Linked DNA regions of Macaca fascicularis. The protein of the gene in region 1 interacts with the protein of each later gene in a pairwise test. Links are inferred from orthologs where the notes say so. Each region holds a gene or a part of one and is shown in the gene's direction. Other genes may lie near its edges.

Evidence for each region.
Region 2: the proteins of RBBP8 (region 1) and LIMS1 interact in a two-hybrid assay, tested with the Homo sapiens proteins (2 studies listed by BioGRID and IntAct). The two-hybrid records come from large-scale screens. The link is inferred for Macaca fascicularis from reciprocal best matches to the Homo sapiens genes RBBP8 and LIMS1.
Region 3: the proteins of RBBP8 (region 1) and RBL2 interact in binary tests that used the Homo sapiens proteins (3 or more experiments, as listed by UniProt). The link is inferred for Macaca fascicularis from reciprocal best matches to the Homo sapiens genes RBBP8 and RBL2.

What each region holds. Positions count from the first base shown.
Region 1 is NC_088392.1:66,777,479-66,783,992, reverse strand, and holds part of RBBP8 (DNA endonuclease RBBP8), read left to right. Parts: intron 1-133; coding exon 134-309; intron 310-3,077; coding exon 3,078-3,182; intron 3,183-6,514. UniProt on the Homo sapiens protein: Endonuclease that cooperates with the MRE11-RAD50-NBN (MRN) complex in DNA-end resection, the first step of double-strand break (DSB) repair through the homologous recombination (HR) pathway.
Region 2 is NC_088387.1:16,159,662-16,166,175, forward strand, and holds part of LIMS1 (LIM and senescent cell antigen-like-containing domain protein 1), read left to right. Parts: intron 1-1,775; coding exon 1,776-1,926; intron 1,927-2,504; coding exon 2,505-2,597; intron 2,598-3,897; coding exon 3,898-3,946; intron 3,947-5,443; exon of another isoform or gene 5,444-5,504; coding exon of another isoform or gene 5,505-5,882; exon of another isoform or gene 5,883-5,906; intron 5,907-6,514. Other genes in the region: large ribosomal subunit protein eL31-like, read right to left, coding at 5,505-5,882. UniProt on the Homo sapiens protein: Within the IPP (ILK-PINCH-PARVIN) complex, binds to F-actin, promoting F-actin bundling, a process required to generate force for actin cytoskeleton reorganization and subsequent dynamic cell adhesion events such as cell spreading and migration.
Region 3 is NC_088394.1:49,420,657-49,427,270, forward strand, and holds the start of RBL2 (retinoblastoma-like protein 2), read left to right. Parts: upstream 1-2,980; 5' UTR 2,981-3,075; coding exon 3,076-3,315; intron 3,316-4,134; exon of another isoform or gene 4,135-4,244; coding exon of another isoform or gene 4,245-4,262; intron 4,263-6,614. UniProt on the Homo sapiens protein: Key regulator of entry into cell division. Directly involved in heterochromatin formation by maintaining overall chromatin structure and, in particular, that of constitutive heterochromatin by stabilizing histone methylation.

The sequences.
Region 1 (6,514 bases):
GTTTGGAACATTAGATACAAGGGATTACATCCTTTAGAGCTTCATGTTTGTGTTCTACTGTAACTCCATGCCGTGTAGTAAATGTTTTAATACTCATTGAATTGATTTTCTTTCCACTGTTATTCTTCTCTAGGAATGATCAACAGCATCAAGCAGCTGAGCTTGAATGTGAGGAAGACGTTATTCCAGATTCACCGATAACAGCCTTCTCATTTTCTGGCGTTAACCGGCTACGAAGAAAGGAGAACCCCCATGTCCGATACATAGAACAAACACATACTAAATTGGAGCACTCTGTGTGTGCAAATGGTAAGAGTTGGAGTTGTCCTTGGGAGGCCGAGATGGGTGGATCACGAGGTCAGGAGATCGAGACCATCCTGGCTAACACGGTGAAACCCCGTCTCTACTAAAAAATACAAAAAACTAGCCGGGCGAGGTGATGGGTGCCTGTAGTCCCAGCTACTCGGGAGGCTGAGGCAGGAGAATGGCGTAAACCCGGGAGGCAGAGCTTGTAGTGAGCTGAGATCCGGCCACTGCACTCCAGCCTGGGCAACAGAGCCAGACTCTGTCTCAAAAAAAAAAAAAAAAAAAAAAGAGTTGGAGTTGTATTTTCGTTCTCTGGTTTTGTAAACCAGTGTTCATCTACTAGTTTTTATGTTATTCGATCTAGTGGAAAGAAAATAGTCACTATTCCGGTATCCCATGGTACAACTATGAGTTTAACTTCTATTCATAAAGTGACCGAGGAGGCATTTTCTGCCCGTGTTATGTATAGATACATGTTGTCTATATGACATGTAAATGTACCACATTTTATAAATATAGTTAAATAGTTTCTTTTTATTTTAAAAATATTCCTATGTGTATATATCCAAGGGGGATAGAAGGAAAAAGGAAAGGAACTTAATGTTAATTTCTACCTCCTGCGTACCACGTATTATGCTGAGTGATTTGCATATATTATTGCTATGTTTTAATTCTTGTAACAGGCTTGTGAAATAACTATCAGCTCTTTTGTTTTATAGATGAGGAAAAATATGTTTAGAAAGGTTGAATAACTCACTCAAGGTCAGCTATCATGTAGATGAGTCAAAATTCAAATACAGATCATCTTAGCTTTGAACTTTTGTACTCTCCAGATCTTGCCACATGGGTACTCCTGCCATTGGAGCTGTCTGTAACTGGCTATTTTTATTTGTTGTAATTTGTAGGAGTTAGTGGTAATCAAGAGATGGTGTTATAATGTGTCCACTTTGTGACTTTTCAGTGGCATGTTTCTAATTCTAGCCTAGTTTATCATTTCTGCTAAATGCTTTAAAACTGCCTTTTCACATAGTCCCAAAATTTGTTATGTGCCGTGATACAAGTATTACTTTTAGTATTAATCTAGAGCAAACATTAAAGACTTTAATTTTTAACCTAAACTATTTGGAACAAGGAAAGCATGGGGAGCGGGGGATATATACGGATTTCTATATTTGTATAATACAAATAAATTGTTGACAGTAAATATGCCTTTAAACAAAGAAGCAGATCTTATTCTTAAATGTTGGAACACTGGCAGTTTTACCCCATTTTATAAGCCTTTGTATCACCATCTAGTGGAGAACAGAAGAACTGTTAAAAATCCTACACTCAAATAGGAGCTAAGTTAAGATGTAAAATCATAGATCTAAAATGAATATCCGTTGACCTTTTAGTTTGCTATCAGACAGGACATGAATCATTAAAGAAATCACTGCATAATTTAGATCAGGTTTAAATTCATATATAAGGATATCTAGAAAATAATTCTGTATTAGGAAAGTCTTTTGTAACCAATATAAATGCTTCTGGTTTATTTCTTCTTTGTATGACAGCAGCATATAACTATTTAGAAATTTAATTCACTTGCTTTAATCTTGTTCTGATCAGTTTTTACTTGGAATCTGAAATTTAGTTTTAAGATGTACGATAACTTTGAGCCATACAAATGATTTTAAAATAACTTTTAAGGCCGGGCGCGGTGGCTCACACCTGTAATCCAAGCACTTTGGGAGGCCAAGGTGGGCGGATCACGAGGTCAGGAGATCGAGACCATCCTGGCTAACATGGTGAAACCACGTCTCTACTAAAAATATAAAAAATTAGCTGGTCGTGGTGGCACACGCATGTAGTACCGGCTACTCGGGAGGCTGAAGCAGGAGAATCGCTGGAACCCAGGAGACGGAGGTTGCAGTGAGCTGAGATCATGCCACTGCATTCCAGCCTGTGCAACAGAGCGAGACTCCATCTCAAAATAATAATAACAATAATAATAATAATGTAATTTAAAATGCTTTAATGACTAATTAGTCCTGTTCTCTAACTTCCCTTGCTTACTTATTGTAAGGTTTATAATGCTTTTTAATATTATTCTCAAGTTACAAATAGTAAAACTGTTTTACTTTACTTTGTCCTTATTTTGGTTCTCTTTGAACTAAATCTTTAAATATTGGAGTGATTTCTGATAACACATGCTTCAGAGTTTCCTTCCTGGAAATAAAAACTCTAAAAGATCATGGAGATAAATGATATAGTATACATTAGATGCTTAATCATTTGTTTATTGATTGATTATTTCAGATAGGGTCTTACTCTATCATGCAGGATGGAGTACTGTGGTGTGATCTGTAGCTTAATGTAGCCTGGAACTTTTAGGCTCAAGAGATCCTCCTGCCTCAGCCTCCCAAGGCGCTGGGATTACAGTCATGAGCCACTGTGCCCAGCCCAGTATACCTTTTTAAATTAACCTGCTGATGTGTAACAAATAAAAAAAGAAAAGTAACACTAAAATGTTACTACTCTGGGCAGTTTGGGTCAGAAGAAGCTGTCTGTTCTAGTCCCCTCTCTCCCAATGTCTTAACTTAAACTGCTTTGTTTCTTAGTGAAATTAAAGGAGCTTACTTCTTAGAATACAATAATTAGGTCAATAAAATGGTACTTGTATTTAAATACAGATAATACATTAAAATTTTAAATATGAATAAATAAAAATAATTTGATAATACTTTTCATCATTGTTTATTATGTAATCTCTTATTTTTTTCTCCCCTTAGAATTGAGAAAAGTTTCCAAGTCTTCAACTCATCCACAACATAATCCTAATGAAAATGAAATTCTAGTAGCTGACACTTATGACCAAAGTCAACCTCCAATGGCCAGTAAGCAAGATACTGAGATTACTTTACAAGTTTAAATTGTGGTTATTGGTGGGTAAGAGTGACCCACAGTCTAACTTAGACAATATTTTAAAGGTATTTTCCGTATAATTTTGTTTATATTACTAGTTTACTATCTTTTTCATATTGGAAAGTAATGTTATCCTATTAGTTCATATAAATATCCCTAATGATATTAATATAAATTACTAATAATTTTAAGTAAAGAAGGCTTTACTGTAATTTACTTATTTGTTCAACAAATATTTAAGCATCTGTTGTATACCAGGCACTAAATAAAACAAAGCCCTTGTCCTCATGGAGCTTATGATCTAGTTGAGGGAGAAATAAAATTTATGTCAGATAGAAGCAAGTGCTCTGAAGAAAAGTAAAGCAGGGTAAGAAGGGATATTAGAAAGCCTCACTGGTAAAGTGTCGTTTGCATAAGGACTGAGGGAGGGAAGTGAGTCACGTGGCTATCTGGGAGACGGGCACCCAGGCAGAGAGATTTGCAAGCCCAGAGGCCTTGCAGTGAAGATGGCATTTGGTTTGTTTGAGGAACATTAAGGAACCCTGTGTGGCTGGAGCAGAGTGAGTGAAGGGGAGATTGGTTTGGACAAAAGGAAAAATAGAGTTACCATTTACTGAGATGGAAGAGACTGGGAGCCACAGGTGTATAGGTTGGGGCAGGGGTGAGTAGAAATTAGAAGTTTCGTTTTGGGAATATTCCATTTGAAATGCAAACTCAACATTCAGGTAGAGTTTGGATTCGTGAGTAGATGTGAGTTAGAATTTAGAGAAGTTTAGGATGGAGACACATGGAAGTTGTCAGCATGTAGATGGCATCTAAGCCATAAAACTAAATGAGATTACCAAGCAAGTGATAATAGAAGGGAATGAGAAGTCCAAGTACTGAGCCTTGAGGAACTTCATTACGTAAAGCCATGATTTTCAACTTTTCTTTTGTTGAAGAACCCCCACCCCAGCTTTTTTAGACATTTCCCCCTCCCCCCAATCCCTTCCCTACTGGAGTTTTAGTACTACAGATATACTGTATATCTGTTTAAGTGATACGTGTATGCATGTATGTCTGTGCTTTATACATAGTAAGGTTTTTTTTGCTCCCACCTGCCCCAAACCATTTTTACTCCCTTAGAGAAAAGATTGTAGCTGTTGAGGTTGTGAAAATGAGTAGGAACCAACAAAACAGAGAAGGAGCTGCCAATGAGATAGGAAAACTAAAAATGATGTCCTTTAAGCCAAGTGGAGAGAGGACGAAGGGGTGGTCAACTGTGTTTAACAATGCTAATAAGTCAAGTAAGATGAAGACTTCTTAGAATTGACCATGGGATTTGGTTGCATGGAGATCACTGAGTGTTGAACTAGTGACATGATAAAAACTGTTAAGGTGTAATATTGACCATCTGAGATCTGTCTCATGTTCAAAGGAAGCTAAGGACAGAGAAAGTGGAAAGAGCACATACAAACAAGTCTTCCAAGACTTGACAGTCAAGAGGAGGAGAGAACAGGACAGTGGCTAAAGAAGAACATGAGTCAAGGGATGATTTTTTCAAGATGGAATATTATAGCATGATTAGCACATATTTATGTTGATAGGATGATCAAGTAAAGAGGAGAAAATTAATAATTCTGGAGAAAGAGGGAACAATTGCTACATCCTTAAAAAGGTCAGAGGAGATGAGATCCAGAGCCCAGTTGTAAGGGTTGGTCAAGGTTAATCTCTTATTCATTTTATAATAGTATAAAAGTTACATTCTGAAAGCTACAAATCATTTTATATTAACATGTGTGTCTGTTTGTCTGTCCATGAGTATGTGTGCATGTGCATGGAGGCTCCGGGTCCTCGGGATATAACACTGAGGTGCTAGGGATATAACACTGAGTGCAGCAGATCCTTGCTTCTCAGCTCTCTAGAACCAATTCTCTTCTGTTGCTGCCAGGTCTTTGCTCCATTATTTGTCCTGTCTTCCTTATACAGTATCTGCAGCTTCTCTGCTGTCATTTTTAAGTATATACACATATATGTTATCTTCCATCTTTAAAAAATAACCCCACTTTTAATAATCTCCACCTTTAGCTACAGCTTCTCTTCAGAGGTGAAAAAGTATTAAAGTCTATATTCAGTATCTCTACTTTCCTAATTCGCATTCACTCCAACTCACTGTAATATGGATTCTACTCCCACCCCCACCCGCAAGAGAGGAAGAGAGAGGGAAGGGGGAGGGAAGGAGGAAAGGAGGGGAGAGAAAAGTGCTAGAGGAGCAGGGTATAGGGGAAGGGAGGGAGACTTACAGGGGTTGAAGAGAGGAGAATGCGTTCACAAACCCTTTGTTACTGCTTACACTTGAACTGCTTCTGACTGTAAATGTCATCAGTGTTGCTGTTCTCCAAAATATGTGGTACTGTGCCTGTTCTATTTCTGTCTCTCTCTTTCTCTCTTTTTTTTTTTTTTTTTTTTTTTTTTTTTGAGACCAGGTCTCTCTCTGTCACCCAGGCTGGAGTGCAGTGGCACAAACACAGCTCACTGCAGCCTCAACCTCCCAGGCTCAAGTAATCCTCCCACCTCAGCCCCCCAAGTAGCTGAGACTACAGGCACACACCACCATGTCTGGCTAATATTTGTATTTTTGTAGAACAGGGTTTCACCATGTTGCCAAGGCTGGTCTCGCTCTCCTAAGCTCAAGTGATCCACCTGCTTCGGCCTGCCAAAGTGTTGGGATTACAGGCGTGAACCGCTGTACCTGGCCTCACTTTCTATCTCTTCCTGGAGGAACGTCACCTAGAGTCAGTAGTCTTCTCTCATTCATATGCTAATAAATCCCAAACCGGTATCTCTGTCCAACTTTTTTCCTGGATTCCCAACCCGTGTATCTACCTGCTTTTGGATATCTCTACAGGGATATCCTTCAATTTCAGCATGTCTACAGTTGACACTTAACCTGTCAAACTAACTCTTTATCCTTGCATTTGCAATCTCAGTGAATGACACTATACATGCCTCTTTGAGTCATCCTAGATTTCTGCTTCATCTGTTTTTTCTCAACAGCCTCTAAGTTTTACTGATTCTACCTCCTACATATCTGTTTTACATATTCTTCTGTGCCCCTATTATACTAGTTTAGGCTACTAACATCTCTCATCAAGACAACATGTTCTAGTAATCTAATTAGTCCTCTTGCCTATTAGTGATTGCTTCTTGCCTAGTGAGTGTCACAGCCACAAATACCTTTTCAGCCCACACATTGCATTTGTTTTATTTAAAACTCTTAGACATCTCTTCATTGTCTACGGGATAAATTTGAAACTCCTTAGCA
Region 2 (6,514 bases), on another chromosome or scaffold:
ATACTATTTTTAATTTTTTTTATTTTTCTCTTGAGACAGGGTCTCGCTCTATTGCCCAGGCTGAAGTGCAGTGGGCAGTCATAGCTCACTGCAGCCACATCCTCCTGGGCTCAAGCAATCCTCCCCCCTCAGCCTCCAGAATAGCTGGGACCACAGGCACACGCCACCCTTTTTTAATTTTTTGTAGAGATGGAGTCTTGCTGTGTTGCCCAGACTGGTCTCAAACTCCTGGGCTCAAGCAGTGCACCCATCTCAGCCTCCCAAAGTGCTGGGATTATAGGCATGAGCCACTGCACCTGGTCAGAACCACAATACTCTTATTGTGCCTGAGAAAATTAGCAATAACTGGCCAGGCGTGGTGGCTCACACCTGTAATCCCAGCACTTTGGGAGGCCGAGGCAGGTAGATCACGAGGTCAGGAGATCAAGACCATCCTGGCTAGCACAGTGAAACCCTATCTCTACTAAAAATACAAAAATTAGCCGGGCATGGTGGCAGGCACCTGTAGTCCCAGCTACTCGGGAGGCTGGGGCAGGAGAATGGTGTGAACCCGGGAGGCGGAGCTTGCCGTGAGCCAAGATCGCACCACTGCACTCAGCCTGCATGACAGAGCAAGACTCCGTCTCATTAAAAAAAAGTGAAAAAAAAGAAAACAGTTTGGTCGTATAAGTTCAGCCATCTCATCTTTTATGAATGAATTATCAGTTTGTGCCTTACTTCATTTTCTTACCTATCCTTCCTCTTGGGGGATTCTCCTCTGTCCACTTTTCATTAGCATCTCTCCTAGAGAATTACATAAAAGGGGTGAAATCCGAACAAATCCATTTGACTAATTGGGACCATCTCTGACCAAATGTTTATTGATGCAGGAGACTGAAAATAATATTTAATTTGAGTATTTGGAGAAGGAAATTCTGGGAATTTTATTGTTTATGAAAATAAACCTGTTAACCTATAACTCTTTTCAACAGCTTGTGACAATTTAAATATGTTAGTAAATGGAACTAGTCTCCCAACTTCTCAGTTTGCTTGGAAAGGTCATGTCTTAGTCTATTGTATGCGCTTATAACAGAATACCACAAACTGGGTAATTTGTAACCAGCAGAAATGTATTTGGCTCATGGTTCTGGAGGCTGGAAAGTCCAAGATCAAGGGGCTGGCATCTGGTGAGGACCTTCTGCATCAAAACATAGCAGAGGGCATCACATGGTGGGGGAGAGAAGAGGGGGGAAGGAAGAGAAGGAAGGAGGCTGAACTCGTCCTTTTATAAGGAACCCACCCCCTCAATAACAGCATTAATCCATCCGTGAGGTCAGAGCCTTCATGATGTAATCAACCCTTAGAGGTCTTACTTCCCAACACCTGCACTGGGAATCATGAACTTTGGAGGGCACAGTCACACCATAGCAGGTAGTATTACTGAGTCTACCCTCAGCACTGTGATTATTCCCTGTAACTTTTAAAGGAAGGCAAATGGACTAAAATGTAATGTGATAATATAAGAAGGAAATGATGAATATGCCTGGTGTGTTGGTGTGTATCTGACCTAGTCTTGCATCTTATCCTTTTAAGATACAGATTTTTTGGTAGGAGTCTGAAACCTGTTCGGGCCTATTAATTCAGGTTACTCTGATCACCTCTAAAGGGGGAAAAAGAAGTTTGCAGGAATCGTCATAGTAATGTCTTTAAAAACCTGAAAAGTGTGCTAGCCCCATCGGTTGGCCGTTTTTCTCTCTTAGTATTAGTATTAAGCTGGCTGTCTTTCTCATGGACAGGAAGGAACTGACTGCCGATGCACGGGAGCTGAAAGGGGAGCTGTACTGCCTGCCATGCCATGATAAAATGGGGGTCCCCATCTGTGGCGCTTGCCGACGGCCCATTGAAGGGCGCGTGGTGAACGCCATGGGCAAGCAGTGGCATGTGGAGGTGAGTTCTGAATGGCAAAGGGCAACCAGTTCTTTCAAATCTCCATGATTAAGGTGTAACCAATACTTTCAAATCTTCATGATTCAGGGGTAACTAGTACTTTCAAATCTCTGTGATTCAGGTGTCCTGGCAAGATTAGGAGAGTCTAAAGATTAAACATGGACATTTTAAAGACAATTGACTTTGCTGACAGTTAAGAATATAGAATGTACACTGCTTTTGTGAATGTCTCAGTAATGATACAGGATGTGCACTTTTGCTCCTAAAGCCTTCTTGAAGCAGGAAGTGCCACGGTCTATATCCAGCAGCAGCTCGTCCTTTATAGGTGCTACTGAGATGCTCACCTCTGTTCTCTTTTTGGGCTATTGTAATAGGCTATGTCTTAAAGTAACCTTTAAAGACAGACACCTGAATTAAAACTGCGAAAGTATTATATTATGAGGCCACTTATGGCCAAATGAAATGACTGTCTCAAACTTTCATTCGTCTTCTCTGAAAATAGGTTAACTTCGGGGTTTCCTTTATTAGATATAAAATATGGCAATTCAAAAATGACCTATAGCAGTTTTTCTTTTCAGCATTTTGTGTGCGCCAAGTGTGAGAAACCCTTTCTTGGACATCGCCATTACGAGAGGAAAGGCCTGGCGTATTGTGAAACCCACTATAACCAGGTATTGACCTTAGTCACTGGGTGCCAGATAGACTTTTATGAACCTAAGCTTATCAGTAGTTTAACTACAAGTAAATCTCTTGGAAGATGTACATTGTTCAGTAGAAATTTGTTTTTAACTTTGTATTTGGGAAATAATTTCAGACTCAGAAGCTAACTATAAAATGGAAAATACAAAGAATACCTGTATGCCTTTCATTCAAGTCCACAGTTCGCTTTATCGTTTCCCGCGCTCGGTCTTCCTGTGTAAAACACGTACTTACGTAAATATTATATACAAGTATGATGGCCGTTTCTAAAGCATTTGCCAGTAAGTTCATCATACTCCTTTACCCCTAAATACTTCAGTGTATATTTCCCAAGAATATGGGACTCTCTAACATAATCGTAGTTATCAATATTGATACCATACTTTAACCCATTTATTCCAATTTTGTCGCTTGAGTCAGTAACATCCTCACAGCACTTTTTCCACTCCCAGACTGGACCCAGCCTGGGGTTGTGATGTTTCTTTAGCCTTCTTAAATCTGGAATATTTCCAGAGCCTTTTCAAATTTTTGATGACATTGACATTTTGGAGGGGTACAGAGGGCCCCTACCCCCTTTTAATAGACTACTTTCCACTTGGGTTCACCTGCTGCTTCTCTGTGCTTAGATGAGGTTATACACAGCAGGTTGCAGCCCCATAACAGTGGCAGGCATCCTCTCAGAACCTTGTCTCTGGAGCACTTTATACCTCTCCTGCCACTGGTGATCTCCCAGGCATGGTGCTGGCCGATAACATCACTATGAATTACAATTTCCTTCCCTCTTTTGTAAGAAAGAAGCAATCTGTGGGCATTCATTTTATGACCATGGAAATGTCCTGTTCCTCATCAACCTGCCCTAGATTTAGCACCCCTTGATGATTCTTGTCTCTGTGCCAGCTGCAAACGACAGTTCTCCAGCCCCACATCCTCCACCCATAGTCTCCACCTCAGGGCTCTGCCTGAGGAACAGCCCACCTCCTCTCCTATCTATAGGTTTATTCATTTATCTGTTTCTTATCCATATGGACTCACAGATTTCTGTATTTTGCATTACTTATTTGGGTGTTCAAACTGTCATCTGGAAAGTTTTTCTTTTTAATTGATGACAGTGAATTACTTTCATTGTAAGAAGTAAAAACTTGTCAAAGAACTTTTACTAATTTTCTCTAGTAGTGATAAATTCTCAATTTAGATAACCAGCTATTTTTAAATGTTCAGTGTTCTAAAATATTTAACACATCTTGAACTTTGACCACCTTTTTGTATTTTCAGCTATTTGGTGATGTTTGCTTCCACTGCAATCGTGTTATAGAAGGTGATGGTAAGTATCTGTGTGAGTTTTAGATTCGTACCACTTTGACACAAAAACACTAGGGTAATGTGGAAATTCAGGTTGGTGATTGCTATTGTTTGGAATATGATCGTTATCAGTTGCTTTTTCTCTTTCTTTGGCATATTTCCCAAGTAATCTGTAGCAGTAAGATGATAGTATCAAAGAGTTGGATTTGTTACTGATTTATGATACTACTTCCGGTCACTACCACAGTGTTGTATGCCAGCAATCATGGGAACTGTCCCTGGTGGACCCTAAGACTAGTTTCTGTGTCCAGTTTCAGGAAACTCTACAACAACGTTTATTAGGAACGGTTTCATCTGCTATTGTAGTTAGGAAGAGGCACTTTAACCTCCATATACTAAAACCTGGCAGTTATCAGCAAGCATATCTAGGACTTACCACCCTTTGGTAATGTACTTTGGTAATTAGGCTGGGCTGATTGATTGGAACAGAAAGGAAGCAGCTGTGTTTGCTAACAGTCGCTAACACAATTCTGCCAGAGACTTCCTGGCAAAGTTTTGAACAATCCTGTTTTCAGCATGATTCATGGCTCCCTGCAGACATCACCTAATTCAGGAAATACTTTTGAAACACTGTTCATGTGCAGTTTGTGAAAACAACCCAGGAAAACAATCTTTAGTGCCATTGAAAATAAAACTTACCTCCCTCCTCTGTGAAACAGACGCCAGGTGAAAGAAGCTGCAAAGGAAGCTGTCTTGTTACCAGCTCTGGAAAAAAGACTCCTACAGGGGCGAATAAGTTAATGTCTGGATTTTTGAAAATTATATACCTAGTTCATATTTCCGTGTTGGGCCAACAGCAGTAGGGACAGAAACAGCAAGCTCACCTAAACAACATGAGGCATGGACAGTCGCCACATGTGCCCAGGTCTAGGGGGCACAGTTGCTGGTGTAAGACATGGCACACATTTATAACTTCACAGGATACTTAAGGACAGGGAAAGATTAAAGTCAGCCCTCCGTATCCAACAGCTGGATGCAAACATCCGTGGATTCAGCCAACTATGAATCAAAAATATTTAGAGAAAAATAACAGTATAACAATACAAATAATACAGTATAATGACTATTTACATATCATTTGCATTGTACTAGGCATTGTAATTAATCTAGAGATGATCTAAACTATATGAGACAGGACCAGGAGCAGTGGCTCACGCCTGTAATTCCAACACTTTGGGAGGCTGAGGCGGGCAGATCACCTGAGGTCAGGAGTTCAAGACCAGTCTGGCCAACATGGTGAAACCCCGTCTCTACTAAAAATACAAAATATTATCCGGGTGTGGTGGTGCATGCCTGTAATCCCAGCTACTCGGGAGGCAGAGGCAGGAGAATCACTTGAGGTTGCCGTGAGCCAAGATCACACCATTGCACTCCAGCCTGGGCAACAAGAGCGAAACTTCGTCTCAGAAAAAAAAAAAAAAAGTATACAAGACAATGTACATAGGCTATATGCATTTTATTTTATTTTATTTTATTTTTTCAATTTTATAACTTTATTTGATGTATTTGATGATCAGCAATTAGTTCTCATCCACATTGACTGTCTGTAGATTTTTGAAAGTGGTAACAGGTACATAGGCAACCAAAGTATAGAGTTTATTTGGTGAATCTTCATCCTCATTATGTTTTCTGGACAGCCGCACACGGATTCGGTATGGGACATTCCTTATTCCTTTGGCCCAGACAGCTTTGTTGAGCCTGGTATCAATGCGCACATCTGGAGTTCCCATCTCCTTCATGGCAAATTTCCGAATCTCTTTGAGTGCCCGAGGGGCACACTTCTGGAAGCCCCCTCCATGGATGCGCTTGTGAATGTTGATGGTGTATTCTCGGGTCACCACCTCGTCGATGGCAGAACGGCCCTTTTTCTTCTCGCCACCCTTCTTTGCGGGAGCCATTCTGCCGGGTCCAAGCTGGAAAGCTGCTATATGCATTTTATATCAGGGACTTGAGCATCTTAGATTTTGGTATCCTCAAGGCATCCTAGAAACAGCATCCTGCACATACTGAGCAACAACTGTATACATAAAGGTTGAGGGCCGGGTGTGGTGGCTTACACCTGTAATCCCAGCACTTAAGGAGGCCAAGGCAGAAGAATTTCTTGGGGCCAGGCGTTCAAGACCAGCCTGGGCAACATAGCAAGACCCTCCATCTCTACAAAATAAAAATAAAAAATTAGCCAGATATGGTGGCACACACCTGTGGTCCCAGCTACACAGGAGGATGAGATGAGAAGACTGCCTGAGCCCAGGAGTTCGAGCTGTGATCACACCACTGCAGTACAGCCTGGGCAACAGAGCGAGACCCTGTCTGAAAAACAAAAGAAAAGAAGCTCTCAAGAAAGAGGTTCTTTGGCTGGGCATGGTGGCTCATGCCTGTAATCTCAGCATTTTGGGAGACTGAGGCAGGGAGATTGCTTGAGCCCAGGAGTTCAAGACCGGCCTGGGAAACATGGCAAAACTGTGTTTCTACAAAAAATATAAAAATTAGCCAGGTATAAGCCGGGCGCAGTGGCTCACGCCTGTAGTCC
Region 3 (6,614 bases), on another chromosome or scaffold:
AGAAAACTAAAGCAATTACTTGATTGGCTACAGCTGGGTGTTTGCCTTATTTGGGTGTGTGAGCTGGGCTCAGTGACTCATGCCTGGAATCCCAGCACTTTGGAAGGCCGAGGTGGGTGGATCATTTGAGGTCAGGAGTTCAAGACCAGCCTGGCCAATGTGGTGAAACCCCCTCTCTACTAAGAATACAAAAATTAGTCGGTTTTGGTGGTGGGCTTCTGTAATCCCAGCCACTCTGGAGGCTGTGGCAGGAGAACCGCTTGAACCTGGGAGGCAGAGGTTGCAGTGAGCTGAGATTGCATCATTGCACTCCAGCCTGCGTGACAAGGCAAGACTCTGTCACCAAAAAAAAAAAAAAAAAAAAGGAAAATCCCTAATTAGAGGTTAGTTGGCAGTTTCTGATTGGTTAAGCTTAAGTTTTGTTTTACTGTTGTCTTACTGTTTACATTGAATTCTGGTTTGCTTACATACAAGCTCCAGCTACAGAGACAGATAATATCAGGCTCATGGCCTTCTTATTTGCTTTGACATAGTAAAGTGTTGATAATGATTTCCAAAGGAAGCAATATCATTATTTTAAAATTAATATCCCCAGTGTATATACAGGTAAAATACTAAGATTTTAATAAACTTATTATTTATTTATTTATTTATTTATTTATTTATTTCTTGAAATGGAGTTGTTCTGTCGCCCAGGCTGGAGTGCGGTGGCATGATCCCAGCTACCTGCAGCCTTAGGCTACTGGGTTCCAGCAATTCTGCCTCAGCCTCCTGAGTAACTGGGATTACTGGTGCCAGCCACCACTCCTAGCTAATTTTTTGTATTTTTAGTAGAAATGGGGTTTCGCTATGTTTGCCAGTCTGGTCTTAAACTCCTAACCTTAAATGATCTGCCCAACTTGGCCTCCCCAAGTGTAGGGATTACAGGCACGAGCCACCGCGCCTTGCCAAATTATTTAATATTTATTTATTTATTGAGACAGGGTCTCACTCTGTTGCCCAGGCTGTAGTGGCATGGTCACAGTTCACTGCAGCCTCCCCAGGCTTAGGCAATCCTCCCACCTCAGTTTCCCAAGTAGCTAGGACTACAGGTGTGTACCACCACACTGGGTTAATTTTTCTATTTTTCATAGAGACAGGGTTTCACCATGTCGCCCAGACTGATTTTGAACTCCTGTACTCAAGCAGTCCAGCCACCTTGGCCTCCCAAAGTGCTGGGCATTGTGAACTCCAACGCCCAGCGTATGTACTTATTTTCAGATACTTCTAAACCATTTGTGTTCAACTTCTGTTCTTGCCCCATAGTCACCTTGAGACTCATCACTCAGCCAACTCCAAAAGCATTGCTGATTACTGTGAATTTTACTAAGGTTTTCTTAAGAGGGTTTCATTGCCTCAAAATTGTTCCCGAAATATCCTGTTACCTGTCTCTACCTGATTTTCTCCTATCTTCAGGGTTCCATTTCCTGTCCTCCCGCCTGTCATTATACCTTCCATAAGCCCCTGCTTTTGTCCCAGCAATTTTCCCTGTGTCAGTTTACATGCCCCAGGAAGCAAAACAAAAATAGCAAAACAGTAATGCCTTCTTACAGCTCCTCAATCTGGAAAATGTTTTATATCAAGCTCATTTATAAATCAAGGATTGGCAATTTTAAAAATTAAAGAAAGGAGAATTCGAAAAAAAATGAATTGGTCGGGCATGGTGGCTCAAGCCTGTAATCCCAGCACTCTGGGAGGCCGAGGCGGGCGGATCACTTGAGGTCAGGAGTTCGAGACCAGCCTGGTCAACATAGTGAAACCCTGCCTCTACTGAAAATATAAAAATTAGCCGGGCGCGGTAGCACGCACCTGTAATCCCAGATATTCAGGAGGCTGAGGCAGAAGAATCGCTTGAACCCGGGAGGCGGAGGTTGCCGTGAGCCAAGATCGTGCCACTGCACTCCAGCCTGGGCGACAGAGCCAGACTCTGTCTCAAATTAAAAAAAAAAAAAAAAAAAAAAAAAAAGGACTGTCTGCCCTTCAGAGTCAGCTACCAGAAAATTCGGAGACTGGGGTTTTTAAAGAATGACTTGGCGGGTAGGGGGCCAGGGAGTGGCGAATGCTAATTTGTCAGGTGGGAGGTGAAATCTTAGGGGGTTGAAGTGGGCTCTTGCTGTCTTCTGTTTCTGAGTGGGACTGTAGAACTGGTTGAGCCAGATTATGGTCTGAGTGGCGCCAGCTCATGCATCGGAATGCGGGGTCTGAAAAGTATCTCCAGCACCAATCTTAGGTTTTACAATAGTGATGTTATCCCTGAGAGCAACTGGGGAGGTTAGGAATCTTGTAGCCTCTGGCTGCAAGACTCCTAAATCATAATTTCTAATCTTGTGGCTAATTTGTTAGTTCTACAAAGGCAGACTGATCCTCAGGCAAGAAGGGGGTTTGTTTTGGGAAAGCTTTGTAAAAATCTTTGCTTCAAAGTGAAACTACAAATTAAATTCCTCCTGTAGTTAGTTGGGTCTTCGCCTGGGAATGAACAAGTGCAGCTCGGAGGTGAGAAGCATGGAGTCATTTAGGTCAGATCCCTTTCCCAGTGGTAACTTTCTCACTGTTAGGATTTTTGCAAAGGCAGTTTCGTGAAGGTACACAGACAGGCCCTTGCTATTATCCTGGTTTTTTAGATAAGGATATCCAGGCAATGAGGAAGTTTTACTTCTGGGAACAGCCTGGATGCGAAACCTTCACACGTCAGTGTCTTTTGGACATTTTCTCGTCAGTACAACCCTGTTGAATGTTCTCACGATGGGGAGGTATGTGCTTAAAATGCGGGGAAGGTGCTTTTATTTCACCCCTGGTGAAACTAGGCGAGCTAATTTTTTTAAACATGATTTTTGGCCCCCTTGAACCGTCGGCCTGGACTACATTTCCCAGCAGGCCGTGCTCAAGACTACGGGTGCCTGCAGGAGGTCAGCGTCGTTGGCAGCGGCGCAGGCGCAGGCGCGGAGCGGGCGGCGGACGGGCGGGCGCTTCGCGGTTTGAATGGCTGCGGGCCCGGGCCCTCACCTCACCTGAGGTCCGGCTGCCCAGGGGTGCGCTATGCCGTCGGGAGGTGACCAGTCGCCGCCGCCCCCGCCTCCTCCTCCGGCGGCGGCAGCCTCGGATGAGGAGGAGGAGGACGACGGCGAGGCGGAGGACGCCGCGCCGCCTAACGAGTCGCCCACCCCTCACATCCAGCAGCGGTTCGACGAGCTGTGCAGCCGCCTCAACATGGACGAGGCGGCGCGGGCCGAGGCCTGGGACAGCTACCGCAGCATGAGCGAGAGCTACACTCTGGAGGTGCGCTCGCGGGCGGAGGGGCGCTTCCGGCCTAGTCGGCGTGAACCGGTGCCTTCCGAGCCGCGTCGCGCGCCACGAGAGACCCTCGGGCGGGTTGCGGGATCCCAGCCGGGAGAGGCGTGGGGACCCCCTCTGCGCTATTCCGAGGCACTTAGCCGCTCCGAGGGCGAACCTGCTCTCGCCGCGCTTCCCCGCGGCTTCCGAATGGGGAACGCGTTTTGCCCTAAAGTAACATAGGGAAGCTGAGATCGCGCTGGGGTCCCGATGAGGAAGATGGGTGTGTGTGGCCCATCTGACCCCCCGCCCGCCTTGTTAGTAGAATGAACTAGTGTCGTTATCAAGACCGCACGGAGAAGGGGAGGGGACTTGCCCTTATTTGCACCGCGATTAACCGGGCTGTGGCACCTGGGTCTCCAGGCGTCTCCGTCTGTTCGCTTCCCCCTGTTAACCAAATTGCCTTTGCCCAGACGTTGCTGGCGTTAGAGTCAACGAGCTGATGCGTTTTGGTCTGTGTTTACGTCTGTGTAAACAAATTAAGACTCATTTTCCCCCAGGCCACATGAAATGAGCCCTCCGCCGACCCGGATATAGATACATGCTCCCATTTGTCACTAGGCTCAGGATTGTGGCTACCTCGAGGGCTTTTTGGTCACCCCGGGCATTGCACAGGACTCCTGTTGTCGGGATCCGGGCGTGTTAGGTCGCAGCCTTCGGACTGGGCTTGTGGATGAGAAAAATGGCCATTCTAGCCAGTGACTGTTAGTTCTGTAGGCACCTCCCTTTCATGGGCCAATGGGAAGTGACACGGAAGTACGGATTGTTTATCAGCTCTTCTACTGTGTGTGTGTGGCATTTAAACCTGAGGCCATTTAATTTCTCAAGTAGTTTTATAATTACTTTGGATAAAGAGGGGGGCAAATAGGCCCAGGATGCAAAGCCTAACCAAGGTATTATTTAAATATGATGTTTTTGGCTATGTGTACTGATGAGTGAGGTTATTTTAAATTTGTATTTGCATTAATAGAATTTTGATTCAATTACGATTTCCCTCTTTGAATTGTTATATCTGCAGAAGAAAGATAGTGTATGGTGGCTTTAGAACCCGACAGACCTGGGTGACTGAACAATTTACTTAACCGCTGGAAAGTTGAGTTTTGTGATCTTTAAACTGGAGATATGTGTGTTTACCTCACAGAGCTGTTCTGAAGATTAAATAAGGCAACAATGTAGTTTCTGGCACATAAAGCACCCATATGGACGGTGCTTTCAAGTTTCCTAAGCTCTTTGTATATTTACATGATCTGGCTGAGTAAACTATGTTCCTGTCCGTCTCTCAGTGCCTTTCTGTAGTCTGGCAAAGAGAAGGACTGGTTGACTTTTTTTTTTTTTTTCTTTTTTTTGCTTTTTTTTTTTCTTTGGTAAAGGGCCTTAAAGGCTTCTAAACTAGCTTTTATTTTACCCTCAGGATGATCCTGTAAATTAGATAGAACAAGCGTTATCACCATTTAGTTGAGGTATGTCAACTCATAGTGGTTAAGTTGTATGAAGTCCAGTGATACATGAGCAAATACCACGTAAGAGCTGGTTAGTAAATTATTTTTGAAAACACATGTTTGATTACTCAATTCTTTTGATTACTGAGACTTTAGTTTCAGCTTCTTAGCCCAGTTTATTCAGTAAATGATTTACTCAGTAAAATATTCATCAAATATTTCTTGAGCACCTGTTCTCAGTGCTACACACTGTTCTCAGTGCTGGATATAGAGCATCAAACAAAGCCTAAAAATACCTGCCTTTGTGGGGCTTATAGTGAGCTACGCTGTGAGATAATGTGGGATGTCATTCTCATGGGAGTGTAAGGGGAAATAAAGCTCTTATGATATTTAATACAGAATACTGGTTATGGAAATTTAATTTGATTCATTGTATTTTCTGTGCATTTTTAACCTATAACTCATTCTTACAGTCCTCAGCCAAAAAAATGCAGCCTCTGAGACTGTTTAGTAATTTTCCCACTGTGTTACAGCTACTGTATGGCAGAGCCAGAATTTGAAACCAGATCTATTTGACCCTATAAGATATGGCCACGAGATGTTAATTTTGAGGATAACTATTTTTTAGTATTATGGAATTTTTCAACAAATATTTTTTAGGACCAAAGATAAACTAGGCAGAGTCTACTCTTTGCATAAATTGTTTAAAAGAACTTCCCGCTCCGTTTTATCATCTAAGTACGGTAAAATTCTCACAAGACTAATTCTTTTCTTCTTTTTAGGAAAGATGCAGCTGTAGACTTTCTTTTTTTGTTGTTGTTGTTTTCTCTCTGCCATCCAAGTAGTTGTGAATTTTCTAGAGCCAAAATAGAACATTATAGATTATCTTTTAAACCCTTTATTGAAGCACAGGATAATGCTATGACTGACTTAACTTTATACTTTGTAAGAGATCTTGATAGAGTAGAGAAATGCAGTAGTTATGCATCTAAATTTGCTTTTACATCATAAATCAAGAATATTATGAAACCATCTCCCAGAGACATATGTAATACATAAATCTTGGCTGTTTTTTTTGACAATAGAACATCTATGCTATTGATACATATAAGTGGGTTTGTAAGATAGTCTATGTGTAAATGTGAAAAATGAAGAATTTCCAGTTTTTCTCATTTTCATTTAGACCAGTAATGAATACAGTGAAGCCAAAGGACAGCTTCCATCCTTCCTCGCTTTTATAGGAAGAGGAAAGTTGTATCACTTCTTGAATAAAAAACGATTGTGAAGATGATCTTTTAGAAACAATGCCTTAAAAATTATTATTTTTGAATGTATCTGGTAGGGGATCCACAATAGTCTCATTTGGTTATAAAAATAAATTTTATGTATTCATGTATGTGTTTTGATTAGGTATAAAATTAGTGGCTGAATATCCATTCAAGCTTAATTTTGTATTTCTATCACTTTTCTAGATTTTGTGCAAGATTAAAAATATAAACAATAGGCCGGGCGTGGGGGCTCACGCCTGTAATCCCAGCACTTTGGGAGGCCGAGGTGGGCGGGTCATGAGGTCAGGAGATCGAGACCATCCTGGCTAACACATTGAAACCCAGTCTCTACTAAAAATACAAAAAATTAGCCGGGCATGGTGGTGGGTGCCTGTAGTCCCAGATACTTGGGAGGCTGAGGCAGGAGAATGGTGTGAACCTGGGAGGCGTAGCTTGTAGTGAGCCGAGATGGTGCCGTTGCACTCCAGCCTGGGTGACAGAGCAAGACTCCATCTCAAAAAAAATAAAAAAAACAACA